4 linked regions of the Oryctolagus cuniculus genome follow. The main gene of each other region encodes a partner of the protein of the gene in region 2 in a complex. Links are inferred from orthologs where the notes say so. Each region holds a gene or a part of one and is shown on either strand. Other genes may lie near its edges.

Region 1 (3,666 bases), on a different chromosome or scaffold from region 2:
AATACTACATCTACAAAAGTTATCATGATAAGTAACATAATGCACGCTTCTGCTACACACAGATGTAAGAAACAGTTACTGCTAAATCACTTATTTAAATTTTAAAATTATTTTAAAATGATCCAGTTGGTCTTTTTTAAATGTTTCATATATTTTTCCAAAAAGCTGTATTGTGATGATGGGGACACAATCCTTTCTATATCATTACCACAGCTTTCCTGTATAGTACTGGTTTGCCTTTAACTCCACACTTATCATGTTTATTATTCAATAAATATAACAAATATGTTCATTGCTGTTAGAAACTGCAGAGTGAAAAATTCACAAACATAGAATTACTAAAATCCACAGAAGTAGGAAAGTAAAAAAGCAGTTTGTATTTCTAAACAAAATGTGGTTTGCAACCAAAAGTTAAAGTTTCCAGTTTGCTCCTCTATACACTACGGGCCCTCAATGGAAGTCTCATAATTCATACAGTCAGAGGCATTAGGGGTGGATTTTGAGAAAAATATGGCATTTAAAATGTACCTGGGACAAAGAGCAACATTTTAGCAGACACACGGCAGCAATTAGTGCATTCTGAGATCAAGAAAAGCCCTGACAAAAGGCACAGATGACAAAAGGCACAGCTTCAAAGCATCTTTTCTAAATACTCAAGAGTATTGTCAAAGTATGTACATATGGAAAGGGAGGGTTAAAGTAGAATACAGTGGGAAATAAAACTAGTTACTAACGTGGAACAGATGACAAAAGGTTCTGAACTTCAGGCTGGAGGCAGCGAGGAATCATTCTGTGTTAGCACACAGGAATGGCATCATCAAATCTGTATTTTAGATTTGATGTCTATACAATCAATAGACTGAAGAAGTAGCAATCAGAGGCTTATTGGCCTAGAGTATGGGAAGAGAGGAGACAAGAGACTACAAAGGGAAGGCAGGAACCGTATCTGTCTATGTCACTATGTAGCAATCAGCACATGGGACACGGCACTCAAAATAAAGGCTAACATAATATTCTTGAAAAGAAATTAGGTTCTGAGCTAGGACAGCAGCAGTGGACAAAGTAAAAAATAAACTATCAACATCTGAAGGGTAAAATCAAGGCAACTTCCTAAGAGCTTAGACATGCACACAGGTTAAGGAAAGAGGCATCAAAGTTTTACTAAGAAGCTGAAATTTCAGAGATGTTTCATCTTCAGAGAATAGTAAAGTACCTACCTGAAGTATGGACTCTCATGTCATTGGTATTACAATCCACTTCACTCTAAATTGAGTATGCACACAGCTCATTACAGGTTGAACAACAAATACACTGAATAAGTGATAGCTTGCAAGGGGTCTTGAAGGTCTTTAAGTTTCAGAAACATGTATTAGATGCACAGCATCATGACACTACAAACATGTTTTACCCAAAACTTACTTTCTCCATCACCATCCTTATCAAATTCCTCTATCATAGCTCGCAGCTCTTCATCACTCATGTTTTCACCCAGTTCTCTGGCAACACGTCGCAAATTCCTCAAGCTGATTTTCCCTGAATCATCATCATCAAATAGTTTAAATGCCTTCAGGATTTCTTCATGTGGATCTCTTTCCAATATCCAGTCTGTCACTGCAGTTAAAAAGAAACTTTTTAAGCCTTCATTATCACAAAGGCTTTCATTTGTAAGGTCAACTAAACATTGGATGACAATCAAAGCTATGAGTATGTCAACATTTAATGTGACAATAAAATGTCATGTTATTTCCTCAAATCCAAATAAATGTGAAATTAGAAAAACCAAATTGATATTAGAAAAAACACTGATTTTTTTTTTATTTTTATTTATTTTTTTGACAGGCAGAGTGGACAGTGAGAGAGAGAGACAGAGAGAAAGGTCTTCCTTTGCCATTGGTTCACCCTCCAATGGCTGCCGCGGCCGGCGTGCTGCGGCCGGCGCACCGCGCCTATCCGATGGCAGGAGCCAGGTGCTTCTCCTGGTCTCCCATGGGGTGCAGGGCCCAAGCACCTGGGCCATCCTCCACTGCACTCCCTGGCCACAGCAGAGGGCTGGCCTGGAAGAGGGGCAACCGGGACAGAATCCGGCGCCCCGACCGGGACTAGAACCCGGTGTGCTGGCGCCGCAAGGCGGAGGATTAGCCTAGTGAGCTGCGGCGCCGGCCAGAAAAAAAAACTGATATTATATAAACCTTTTTATTATCAACAATTTGACTTATAAGAGCAAGCAAAACTGTATCACGTGAAGGCAAAATAAACAGGGCTATTCTCATACTTTCCTTACTTACGGTCTACTATTATCAAAAGTCGTACTAAGCTCCACTGACATTAAGCACACAAGTCTACACATTTGTAACCTAGTTACAGAGACATATCAACACAATTAGAAGAAACTAAATAAAAGCTGTTTGCTGACTACACTTATTGCTAAAACTAATTCTTTCCCAAATTTAAAAACGAAAGATTAACAAAATCACAGCCATCATTGATATAGGCACAATCTCAGACAAGAGACGAACATTTCACATGATTACAAGAACTCTTTTTTATTTTTAAGATTTATTTATTTATATGGAAGGCAGAGAAACCGAGAGGGAGAGTCAGAGAGAGATGGATCTTCCACCAGCTAGTTCACTCTCCAAATGCCTGCAGCAGCCTGAGCTAAACTAGATGGAACCCAGGAGCCTGGAACTCCATTGGGGTCTCCCCCATAGGTGGCAGGGGCCTGAGTACTCAGGCCATCATCTGCTGCCTCCCAGGAGCATTAGCAGGAAGCTGAATCAGGAGCAGAGGAGCTGGGACTCAAACCCTACTCAAATATGGGACATAGGTGTCCCAGGCGGCAGCTTAACCCATTGCACCACAACACCTTCTGCTAGAAGAGCATCTTGAATTTCCAAAACGTGAAAAGCAGTTACAAAGACTGAATCTGTGGCTGATGCTGTAGCGTAGTGGGTAAACCCACTGTCTGCAGTGTCAGCATCCCATACGGGTGCCGGTTCAAGTCCTGGCTGCTCCACTTCTGATCCAGCTCTCTGGTATGGTCTGGAAAACCAGAAGATGGCCCAAGTCCTTGGGCCTCTAAACCTACGTGGGATACCTGGAGGAAGCTCTGGGCTTCCTGCTTTGGTTCGGCCCAGCTCTGGCCATTGTGGCCAGTTGAGAAGTGAACCAACAGATGGAAGACCTCTCTTTCTCTCTCTCTGCCTCTGCTTCTCTGTAACTCTGCCTTTCAAATAAATAAATAAATCTTAAAAAAAAGATTGAATCTATTATACTAAGTAAGCCACACACACAAACACACCAAACAACTAAACAAAGGAAGTCTCTCTAACATTTTTAGACAAGATAATAACTCTCAAACAACTAAACAAAATGTAATTTCAGAGCTCAACAGTAATAGTGTATTCTGATAGTATATGTTAATATACTAAATATAACCATATCTAACAATTTAGTAAGCTTAATTTTTTTATATTACCAGTCTTTAATCCATAACCACAATAACACATACTGAAGCAAAAATTAATGAATTAAAGTTTTCTAAGTTACTAAATAAAATTTTGAAAAAATCTAAATATACATCTCATGTACTTTTTTTTTTTTAATCTTTTATTTAATGAATATAAATTTCCAAAGTACGACTCATGTGTTACAATGGCTTCCCCC
Region 2 (3,308 bases):
CCATAGAAATGTAATTGTAAGAATGAAAGATAAAGCTACACTCTAATATCATTGAAGGAAGTATTAATTTTCTGCTGTGATGTGAGATTCGATCTTCTCCCCATCAGCAGTCTGTCCTAGTCATTAGGTTGAAACAATTGCTGGCTGGAGAGCAAACATCCACTTTCCGATAAAGTAGTCACATAAACACTTGAGCAAGAAACACGGGGAGGATTAGGTGAATTTTTAGTGCTCATGTTAATTATCCGAGAAAGATGGGCAGATGGTTAATTCTGTAATCATTTCTAAGGAACAAATGCAAATTATTACATTGTCCTTTCATGAGCAGAACAGGAAGAGGGGGGCAAAAGCTAAATTACTGTAGAAGGCATAGCTTGACTTTTTGAGACATTTCTATCACAAACTTTCAGACTGAGTAAACCACTCTAACAGATAATGGACACAGTTAATTATCCACTCTTCCCCATGCAGTAAAAGTGTACCACAGGCCCAAAGGGTGAAAAAATTAGAATTTCCAGACTACTCTTTTAAAGTTTAGCATTCAGGACAATGTATCTGGGGAAAAACCATCACTGTAGAAAGTTGGTGCATTTTAAAAGGACCATGGTTGTTTTTAAAAAAGTATTTATTTTTCACTAGTGAGGATGGATCCAGGCAAAGAGATTTACACAAAAGTGTCCATATATAAAGAAAGAAATAGCAAAATATTTTTGGTCATAATTTAGAAACAAACTAATCCACAAAAAGGAGACAGTTTTCCCCAATTCCTCTTCCACAGAAGAACACAGCAGGGGCTCAGTTCCTGGATATCCTCATGAGGCCACGGATCCGTCTGACAAGAGCCTGGATGAAACTGTAGCGAGACCGAACCTTTGAGTACAGTCCTTCAATGTCTAGAAGTTTCTTCTGTAGTGACTCTCCAAAAGCGTTGTTGGCATCAGCCTGAAGCTAGAGGTAAGACAGATGAAATTTTATTATTAAAGTTACCATCTCAAATATTTATCTTTTCCCATCTTCCAATTGTAAATACCTCTGAAATTTTGTAACGTGGTCTTTCCAACATAAAATATTTGGAACTGTAACATGGAACCAAGTGAACTGACCCGGCTGTTCACATTTTCTGTCCGGATTTCTGGTATGATTCTAGTGCTCTTCTCTCCTTTGCTGTACAAATGTGGGGATTTTTAAATGTGCTTTAAACAGCAACTTGATGCTAATGCTGACATATCGTCAAGCACACAAACACATATCCTAAGGGGCTACACAACAAGTTGGCTAACAGTATGTGCTTTTAAAAAAGAAGAGTAGGTGTGCCGGTGCCGTGGCGCAGCGGGTTAAAGCCCTGGTCTGAGGCGCCGGCATCCCATATGGGCGCCAGCAGAGTTCCAGCAGCTCCACTTCCGATGCTGCTCTCTGCTGTGGCCTGGGAAAGCAGTGGAAGATGGCCCAAGTCCTTGGGCCCCTGCACCCACATGGGAGACCTGGAAGAAGTTCCTGGCTTCAGATTGGTGCAGCTCTAGCCATCTGGGGAGTGAACCAGTGGATGGAAGACCTCTCTCTGTCTCTACTTCTCTCTGTAACTGTCTTTCAAATAAATAAAATAAATCTTTTTTTTTTTTTTTTTTTGACAGGCAGAGTGGACAGTGAGAGAGAGAGACAGAGAGAAAGGTCTTCCTTTGCCGTTGGTTCACCCTCCAATGGCCGCCGCAGCTGGCACGCTGTGGCCGGCGCATCGCGCTGATCCGAAGCCAGGAGCCAGGTGCTTCTCCTGGTCTGCCATGCAGGTACAGGGCCCAAGCACTTGGGCCATCTTCCACTGCACTCCTGGGCCACAGCAGAGAGCTGGACTGGAAGAGGGGCAACCGGGACAAAATCCAGCACCCTGACCGGGACTAGAACCTAATGTGCCGGCGCCGCAAGGCGGAGGATTAGCCTATTGAGCCACGGCGCCAGCCTTAAATAAAATAAATCTTAAAAAAAATAGAAAAAGAATAGGTGGGGAGAAAAGCTTTTATCCTTCACTGTTTAATTTCTAAAACCACACTTGCTTTGGGAGAGGCAGCAGCAGCCAGGCAGCCCTGTTTCACTGAGGCTCTCGGTGCGCCGTGGCCCACCGGCACCCAGCATGCACCCTTCCCACCACCAAGATGCCCAAGAGGAATTGAGGGATGTAAGCCCAAGAAGATAGGTGGGGTGGTCCCCCAAACCTGCTCCTACAAAAGTAGAAATGAAGTTAAAAAAAAAAAAAAAAAAAAAAAGCAGCAGCAAAGTGTATCTTCAGACAGAAAAGTACAAATCAAAGGGAAGAGAAACAAAGTGAAAACAGGCCGCACTGGCTCAAACAAGAAACCAGAGATCTGCCAGCAGGAACAGAGAAACTAAAAGCAAGGAGCGTCTGGCCTGATGAAGCAGCTGTCATACGCCCGTCTCAGCAGTGGTCCTGGTCTCCCTTCTTGAACCATCCAGAGGAATGGTTTCATCAACTTTTTGCAAATCAAGTTTTCAAGTTGCTCTAGAAACATTTTCTAAGAAAGAAGGAATCCAATCTCATCCCATTTTTTCAAGTGTAACTGATTTTTTTAAAGGTGAAATCATCTGCTGGTTGGTTATTTCCAGTCCAACCAGAGAACAGCTGTTTTCTGTACAGGAGGCTCTGGCTGCCATGGTGTCAGCTTAGACGTCCACAGATGTCCACAGACGTCTAACATCTCTCATTACAAAGCATACTAAACGGCACTGTGGAGTCACAGTTGTGCATTTAATCTGTTGTTGTTCAGTACAATTGTTTCCTACAGAAAACCACTCCTTACCACTGTCCTGTCACAACAGGGCATGTTCCTTAACATGTTTTGTTATGATTCAGTTTTCCTAATAACTTGTTAATGTGTTGTGAAAGGCTGAAAATTCGAGTATGTAATTTTTATGATAAACTGTGGCCTGGTGGGACTTATGTAACAGCTTGTCAATATTTGAAGATATTGGTACTTAGTATCTTGTTAAGGAAAATTTGCCTCCAAAGGCAAAGCTGGAAAGTCACTGGAATAACTCTTCGCCGCAAGATGGAGGATTAGCCTAGTGAGCCGCGGCACCGGCCTTGGAATAACTCTTAAAAAGGATCACAATACATGGCCTTTTAGATTTTTGGTACATATGTTAGGAAATGTGCACAAGTGGAAATATCTGTGTATTGATTCTGAACACTACCAGGAAAATCTCGATTATGAAAGAAAAAAACCCATTTGCTTGTTTTCAAGAAATATCAATTGGGTAAGACAGGAGAGGGGGTTTAACCTGAACCATACGTTAGA
Region 3 (3,666 bases), on a different chromosome or scaffold from region 2:
CACCCTTGTAGGAGACCTGGATGGAATTCCTGGCTACTGACTTCACCCTCAGAAGTTGTGAGCACTTGAGGCGTAAATCCGCAGACAGAGGATCTGTTTTTTCATGCCCTCTTTCCCTCTCTGCCTTTCAAATAAATAAATATTTAACAAAAACAAACAAAAAACAAGGGGCCAGCACTGTGGCACAGCAGGTAAAGCCACCATCATCTGGGTCCCAGTTTGAATCCTGGCTTCTCCACTTCTGATCCAGCTCTCTGCTATGGCCTGGGAAAGCAGTGGAAGATGGCCCAAGTGCTTGGGCCCCTGCACTCGCATGGGAGACCCAGAGGAACTCCTGGCTCTTGGCTTCAGATTGAATTAGCCCAGCTCCGGCCACTGCAGCCATTTGGGGAGTGAACCAACAGATGGAAAACCTCCCCCTCTCTCTGGTTTTGCCTCTCTGGAACTCTCCCTTTCAAATAATAAATAAATCTTAAAAAAAAAAAAAAAAAGGGCAAAACACTACCCCCTCCTTACTTGTCGTCTGGTGCATTTCCTCCATACACGCTCTGATGACTGAACGGTAGTTTTTACTCACACGAACCAGCCTACAAAAATGAAGCAGATAGAAGATGAGCCTGGAACATCTGTGGAGCCAGAAAGTAAGGAAGGGCTCAAAAAAAAGGAATTTACAGATCACAGGAGCCAACCTGAAGGAGCTCCAGATACTGCAGAGCTAGAACAACTTGAGTAACAAAACAAGTAAAATATAACATAAATCATGGTATATATTAAAAAAAAAAAAAGCCCAAGACTCCATACTGATATCAGTTGTTGCAGATCAGATCCACCGACAGATACTAAAATGAGTGGGTGAAAATGTAAGAAGAAATAGGATTTCAGGTGTCAAAGCAGGGCTGGCACTGTGGCATAGCAGGTAAAGCTGTCAGCTGCAGCGCCTGCATCCCATGTGGGCACCAGTTCAATCCCAGCTGCTCCACTTCTGATCCAACTCCCTGCTGATGCTCCTGGGAAAGTAGCAGAGGATGGCCCAAGTATCTGGGCCCTGCACCCATGTGGGAGACCCAGAAGCACCTCCTAGCTCCTGACTTCAGGTCAGCTCAGCTCCAGCTGTTATAGCTTTTTGGGAAGTGAACCAGCAAATTGAAGATCTCTCTCTCTGTCTTTCCTTCTCTAACCCTGCCTTTCCAACAAATAAATAAATATTTAACAAAACGGAGAGGGGAAGGGAAAGGGGGAGGGAAAGGGATAGAAAAGGTGGGGGCGGTGGTTGGTGCTCTGGCACAGCAGGTTAAAGCCCCAGCCTGCCCCACCGGCACCAGTACAAGTCCCAGCTGCTCCACTTCCTATCCAGCTCCCTGCTAATGCACCTGGGAAAGCAGCAGAGGATGGCCCAAATCCTCAGGCACCCGCACCAACACCCATTTAGGGAGCAGTCATTTGGGGAGAGAACCAGCAGGTGGAAGATCTCCCTCTCTCTCTACCTCTTTCCTTCATATAAATAAAAAAAAAATCTTAAAAAAAAAAAAGCAGAGAGTTCCCAGCTAACGGTGGTCTACCCAGCAGAAACAGCAGACAACGCAGTAACCAAGGTAAACACCACCAGTAACCGAATGTCGACACCAGGAGCCTTATGCACAATCGCAACTTCTGCAGTGTCCTTGCTAGTAAGTGCATGGTCTTTGTCCAGTTACGAGAGAACAGCTGACAAACTCAGGCTGAGGGACACCCCATAAAGCAGACAGTGCTCTGCCAAAGTGTAGTGGTCATGGGGAGACTAAGCAAAAGAACCAAGTGCAACCTCATTCAGCTGCAGAAGGAAAAAAAGACATTAGTGCAAAAATCGGGGAAATTCAAGTAAGGTCTTCAGTTAGTCGTCAGTGTTAACTGGTTTTAATAACAGTAAATACAGTTTTCTAAGATACTGATATTAGGGAAGCCAGGTGGGAGACATACACTATTTTTCTAACTCTTCTGTAAGTCTAAAATTAGTTCAAAATATGTCTGGGGCATAGACTGTGCCACAGATGAGACTGCGCCATTTTACTAACATTCCCTCCTTTTGTTTTTTACAAACCAAGAGTTGTATGGGATTACGTTAGCCCCAAAAGTCCAGGAGTAGAGGGACGATGATGTGTCTTTAGAGCTACCTCCTGTTGACACAGGGTAACGAGGTACTCTCTGCTGTCATGGGCGTTGTCTGAAGCCACTGACTCCTGGGTGGGGAGCTGAGTATACCCCTGTAGCAGCACTTGGCTGACCACCTGGTTGGTGAAGGCCTTGGTTCGTTCCATTATCCCCTCCTGTAAATACTCAGAATTTGGAAGGCCAGTGTGTGGATGGGGATCACGAAGCTTTCGGTGGCGTGGAAGGAGTTCTGGGGCTGTGCTTTGTGACTGGCAGAAATCCAGGACCCCAGGGCAGCTCAGAGATCCCCGAAGTGAGAACAGAATCACTGAGGGAGCCTGGATTTGAGTCACGGCACCAATGTAAGCCCACCACAAGACAGATCGAACACCAGGGTAAGGGAAAGGTTTACTGGGGGAAACCCAGTAGATGGGAGGGAAGGGGCAAAGAAGAAAAAAGAGGGAGAAGGAGAGGATAAGAGAGAGCGACAGAGCGAGAAAGATCAAGAGACGGAGAGAGAGAGCTTGGGAGACGGAGAGAGAGAGCGAGATCGGGAGACGGAGAGAGAGAGAGAGAGCTTGGGAGACGGAGTGAAAGAGAGAGATCGGGAGACGGAGAGAGAGAGAGATCGGGAGACGGAGAGAGAGAGATCGGGAGACGGAGAGAGAGAGAGATCGGGAGACGGAGAGAGAGAGAGAGAGATCGGGAGACGGAGAGAGAGAGAGATCGGGAGTAAAGGAGCCCAAAAGTGATTCCTCAAGGACCAAACAGAACTCGCACTGTTTTGCTGATTTCCGAATCCCCCAACCATAGGGCCTCGCTCAGTGACGCTCAGGAGCTAATCTGGGCCAACTTCACTTCTCTGCATAATGAAGTAGAACATACACGTACTACACGTAAAGCTCAGGCAGCCAGCCAGTGAATCCACAGCAAGTGCACACTCCCTCCAGAATGCGCCTGCTGGGCAACGTGCAGGCCACCGCCAGAGCCAGGAGCCGCTTACTTCCCCAGGTGACCGCCCAGGCACCACAGGACAAGGGCACACTCCATCTGGCTGTTCACAACGTGGCTGTGGACTCAGGCACCTATCAGCAGCGACTCACTGAGCTTTTCTGGACTTTCCCGTGAATTCTTCCTCAATTCTTTGGAGGCCCACGAAGATTCCATGGGATTCATTGAAGAGTTTTCTCAAGATCTGAGAGTACACGCCTACATCCTTCCGGATGATATAGATAAAGGGGCAGCACGGCACCATCTCCGATTTTCCTGAAAGTAAACAGAAAAAAAGATTTAACATCTCTCATCATCACCCTGAGAGAATCCACTCTGAAAATCCGAACGGTCTAAATACAAAAGCTTTGGCTTCCTCACCCCTGACTTACAAAAAGTAAAGCAATGCAACGCGGGTGCTGTGGCACAGCAGGATAAGCTACCACTTGTGACACACATCCTGCAAAGTGCTGGTGGCTGGCGAGGGGCCGGCACTGTTGGTGTCGTGGGTTAAGCCATCGCCCACAACACCAGCATCCCATATGGTTG
Region 4 (3,666 bases), on a different chromosome or scaffold from region 2:
CTCCTAGCCTCAGTAAGAGCTGCTGTAAGATCAAGAGGTCTCGGCAGATCAGGAAGCGGGTGCTGGCGATTTTAAACACCGCTCTGCATACAATGTAACTTGCTGTGCTACTCCCATAGAGCTGGGAAAGATTCATCCGCACATTTAAAGGCTGAGCTGAAATAAGAAATAAAGTTAAATGTATCACTGCTTTCTCTAAAGCCAAGAGGTACTTTGGCTGTTCTGTCATTTACCTGGATTGAATCCCTTTTCCATTTCCACGTCTGTTTCATAATCCATTTCCCGTATAAGAACGCCAATGGCCTGGATTGGATTCCGAATTTCTTGCAGTTTACTACAAATATCCTCTAGCACATTTTCTCTACAGAGGCAATCAGGAAACTTCTGTTACTACCAAGAATACTACCAAGAATACCCAATGTCCTGTAAACTAAATGCTCTGTGACACAGGAAAGCCAGCAACGTGATAAAGCAGGAGACACAACTGTTCAGGTATACGAGATACCACACAGCAAAATTTCTTTCAACTTTTCAGAACTGGCAAACAAGATGATTGTGAGGAAACTACTTTTTCTTTTTAGAATCAATAATTAATAGCTGTATCACAGCTTAGGAATCTGCATGTGTTAGAATTTCTGTTTGGGGCTGGTGTTGTGGCATACTGGATAAAGCCACAGCCCATGACATCTAGCTCGTGTCCCGGCTACATCCCACATGGGCACCAGTACAAGTCCCAGCTGCTCCACTGCTGATCCAGCTTCCTGCTAATGGCCTGGGAAAGCAGGAGAAGATGGTCCAAGGCCCCTGTCATCCACATGGGAGACCCAGATGAAGTTCCTGGCTCCTGGCTTTGGCCTGGCCATTATAGCCATCTGGGGAGTGAACCAGAAGATGGAAGATTCTCTCTGTAACTTTGACTTTCAAACAAACAAACAAATCTTAAAAAAAAAAAAAAAAAAAAAAAAAAACCCTTAAACAAATTTCTGGGGGCTGGCGTCGTGGCATAGTGGGTAAAGCCACCACCTGTAGTGCTTGTGTCCCATATGGGTGCTGGTTCGAGTCCTGGCTGCTCCTCTTCCAATCCAGCTCTATACATGGCCTGGGAACACAGTAGAAGATGGCCCAAGTTCTTGGGCCCCTGCACCCACGTGGGAGACCAAGAAGCTCCTGGCTCCTGGCTTCAGATGGGCCCAGCTCCAGTTGTTGAAGCCACCTGAGGAATGAACCAACAGATGGAGACCTCTCTCTCTCTCTGCCTCTCTGTAACTCTGCCTTTTAAATAAATCAATAATTCTTAAAAAAAAGACAAAGATTTATTTAAAAAAATTGTCCAAAAGCTGAAATATCTATTGAGAATCATGACAATTCATTTTATCTTCAAGCCATTAATTTGAACACTCTTTTGCATACAAAAATTCGATTTGGCACTAAAAATTGCTGAATTTCCATTAGGAAATGCACTTTACCCTAAGTTCTCCTTACACATCAACAGTGATCAAATCTTCCAGAATCTGTTCCGCAGCCTTCTCTGGAGACTGTAGGTTGTAGCAACTCATTTCCATCATAACTGACATGTCCATATTTACGGACTCTCCAATCAGCCGAAGACATTTTATAAGACATATGACATCTCGAGCAACATCCACATCTAGGAAGAGAAAAGTTAACATTCTAGTCTCAAATCAGTGATCTAATTAATATTATATTGTTAATTATTAAATGCCCAGACATCTATCTGATGTCTTTGAGATATGGAGGCCTCTATATCTTCCCTTGAAGTATCTACAATGTGGTAAAATGGCCAGTGGTAATCAATGTCCTTTGCATGTACTTGTAAAAGGTGAAAGATTTATACGATCTGAAGAGAAACCAGAGTATATTTTGCATGTACTTGTAATAAAGCACAGGTTCATGTAGGAAAGGGAATAAACATACAAATAACAATCATTACCATCAGATATGGTTGTCTCATCCTCTGTCAACAGGTTCTCATCAGGCAGTAGATACAAATGGTCCACTAGGGAAGAGGGCATAAGAAAAGACAGGTACCCCTGGAAATTGAAATATTCTGGTTACATTTTTTCAGTGAATTTTTAAAGGTATAAAATAATTGTGATGTGAGTTTTATCATGAGGCAACACCAGAGAAACTCCAGTTGATGGACACTGTAAAAAATACATGTGTAGTCATCAGAAAAATGTCAGTCATGAAAGACAAAGAAAGGCTGAAGATAGTTCAAGATTAAGTTAAATAAACAAGACAACTAGATATATCTAGGTCCTCGGATTGGATCTTGGATCACAAAGAAAATTATGGGCACAACTGGAAAAATTATTAACTGTGTAATAATGTATCAATATCAAATTGTTGATCTTTAAATTCTACTGTGGTTATTTAGGATAAACATCCATGCTTTTAGAGACTTGCTGAAGTTTTTAAGGACAAAAGGGCATGATGTCTGGGACCAGCACTGTGGCACAGTGGATTAAGCCATAGCCTATAGCACCAGCACAAGTTCATGTCCTGCTGCTCCATGTCTGATCAGCTTCCTGCTAATGCTTCTGGGAAAGTAGCAGAAGATGGCCCAAGTCCTTGGGCTGCTGTATCCATGCTGAAGACCTGCATTAAGCTTCTGGCTCCTGGCTTCAGCCTGGCCTAGCCCCAGTTGTTGCAGCCATTTGGGGAGTGAACAAGCAGATGAAAGCTCTCTGTCTCTCCTTCTCTCTCTGTATCCTTTCAAATAAATAAATATATCTTAAAAAAAAAAAAAAAGTGCATGATGCTACAAGCTGGGAAGAAAACTCTCAAATGGCCCAGAAAAAAAAACATATTTATACAAAGAAGAATCACAAATGGAAATTAAAAGATGGATCTGGATGAAGGCTTTCTAGGCCGGCACCGCGGCTCACTAGGCTAATCCTCCGCCCTGCGGCGCCGGCACACTGGGTTCTAGTCCCGGTCAGGGCGCCGGATTCTGTCCCAGTTGCCCCTCTTCCAGGCCAGCTCTCTGCTGTGGCCAGGGAGTGCAGTGGAGGATGGCCCAAGTGCTTAGGCCCTGCACTCCATGGGAGACCAGGAGAAGTACCTGGCTCCTGCCATCGGATCAGCGCGGTGCACTGGCCGTAGCGCGCCGGCCGCAGCAGCCATTGGAGGGTGAACCAACGGCAAAAGGAAGACCTTTCTCTCTGTCTCTCTCTCTCACTGTCCAACTCTGCCTGTCAAAAAAAAAAAAAAAATTTTTATGCTATTTTTAATTTTTATCATTTATTCAACAAATAAAATATAATGTTTTATTCTACTTTAATTTTAATTTTTTATTATCTATTAAATAAATAAATTTAAAAATCAAATGTAAAACAAAATAGATCAGGGTGGGCATTTGGTCATAAGTCAAGACACCACTAGTAAAGCCAGTGTTGTGGCACAGTGGGTTAAGATGCCACTTGAGGAATCTCAGTAGCTCTGCTTCTGATCCAATTTCCTGCTAACGAGCCTGGGAAGGCAACAGAAGACGAGCCAAATACTTGGGCCCAGGCCACCCATGTGGGAGACCAGGATGTATTTATTTCCTGGTTCCTAGCTTTGGCCTGGTTTGGACCTGGCTGTTGTGAATATTTGGGTGAATGAACCAGTAGATAGAAGATCAATACATCTTTCACTCTGTTG

Evidence for each region.
Region 1: NUP205 (region 2) and CETN3 share a complex: the UniProt entries of both Homo sapiens proteins name them as parts of the nuclear pore complex. The link is inferred for Oryctolagus cuniculus from reciprocal best matches to the Homo sapiens genes NUP205 and CETN3.
Region 3: the proteins of NUP205 (region 2) and NUP85 are in contact, whole or in part, in a cryo-EM structure (PDB 7TDZ), measured with the Xenopus laevis proteins. The link is inferred for Oryctolagus cuniculus from reciprocal best matches to the Homo sapiens genes NUP205 and NUP85. Residues at the interface, in XP_041443600.1 of Xenopus laevis: Glu1477, Cys1480, Arg1481, Cys1484, Asp1485, Ser1517, Gly1518, Tyr1519, Leu1520, Lys1521, Val1522, Val1524, Asp1525, Ser1574, Gly1575, Gln1582, Gln1638, Gly1641, Gln1642, Gln1645, Val1648, Leu1690, Asp1691, Ile1692, Gly1693, Leu1694, Asn1695, Asp1696, Gly1697, Ser1698; in XP_041431608.1 of Xenopus laevis: Ala86, Glu87, Glu88, Ala89, Ser90, Gly91, Lys92, Ser93, Arg94, Lys95, Pro156, Pro239, Met240, Gly245, Thr246, Gln247, Thr248, Leu249, Thr250, Glu251, Phe252, Glu253, Leu254, Lys255, Trp256, Gln257, His258, Trp259, Pro315.
Region 4: NUP205 (region 2) and NUP160 share a complex: the UniProt entries of both Homo sapiens proteins name them as parts of the nuclear pore complex. The link is inferred for Oryctolagus cuniculus from reciprocal best matches to the Homo sapiens genes NUP205 and NUP160.

Annotation. Positions count from the first base shown.
Region 1 is NC_091445.1:13,123,286-13,126,951, forward strand, and holds part of CETN3 (centrin-3), read right to left. Parts: intron 1,612-3,666; coding exon 1,420-1,611; intron 1-1,419. UniProt on the Homo sapiens protein: Plays a fundamental role in microtubule-organizing center structure and function. As a component of the TREX-2 complex, involved in the export of mRNAs to the cytoplasm through the nuclear pores.
Region 2 is NC_091434.1:171,453,169-171,456,476, reverse strand, and holds the end of NUP205 (nuclear pore complex protein Nup205), read right to left. Parts: intron 949-3,308; coding exon 796-948; 3' UTR 608-795; downstream 1-607. UniProt on the Homo sapiens protein: Plays a role in the nuclear pore complex (NPC) assembly and/or maintenance. May anchor NUP62 and other nucleoporins, but not NUP153 and TPR, to the NPC.
Region 3 is NC_091448.1:5,320,512-5,324,177, forward strand, and holds part of NUP85 (nuclear pore complex protein Nup85), read right to left. Parts: intron 3,394-3,666; coding exon 3,231-3,393; exon of another isoform or gene 3,178-3,230; coding exon of another isoform or gene 3,131-3,177; intron 588-3,130; coding exon 517-587; intron 1-516. UniProt on the Homo sapiens protein: Essential component of the nuclear pore complex (NPC) that seems to be required for NPC assembly and maintenance. As part of the NPC Nup107-160 subcomplex plays a role in RNA export and in tethering NUP96/Nup98 and NUP153 to the nucleus.
Region 4 is NC_091432.1:18,194,925-18,198,590, reverse strand, and holds part of NUP160 (nuclear pore complex protein Nup160), read right to left. Parts: intron 2,052-3,666; coding exon 1,952-2,051; intron 1,649-1,951; coding exon 1,483-1,648; intron 362-1,482; coding exon 234-361; intron 157-233; coding exon 1-156. UniProt on the Homo sapiens protein: Functions as a component of the nuclear pore complex (NPC). Involved in poly(A)+ RNA transport.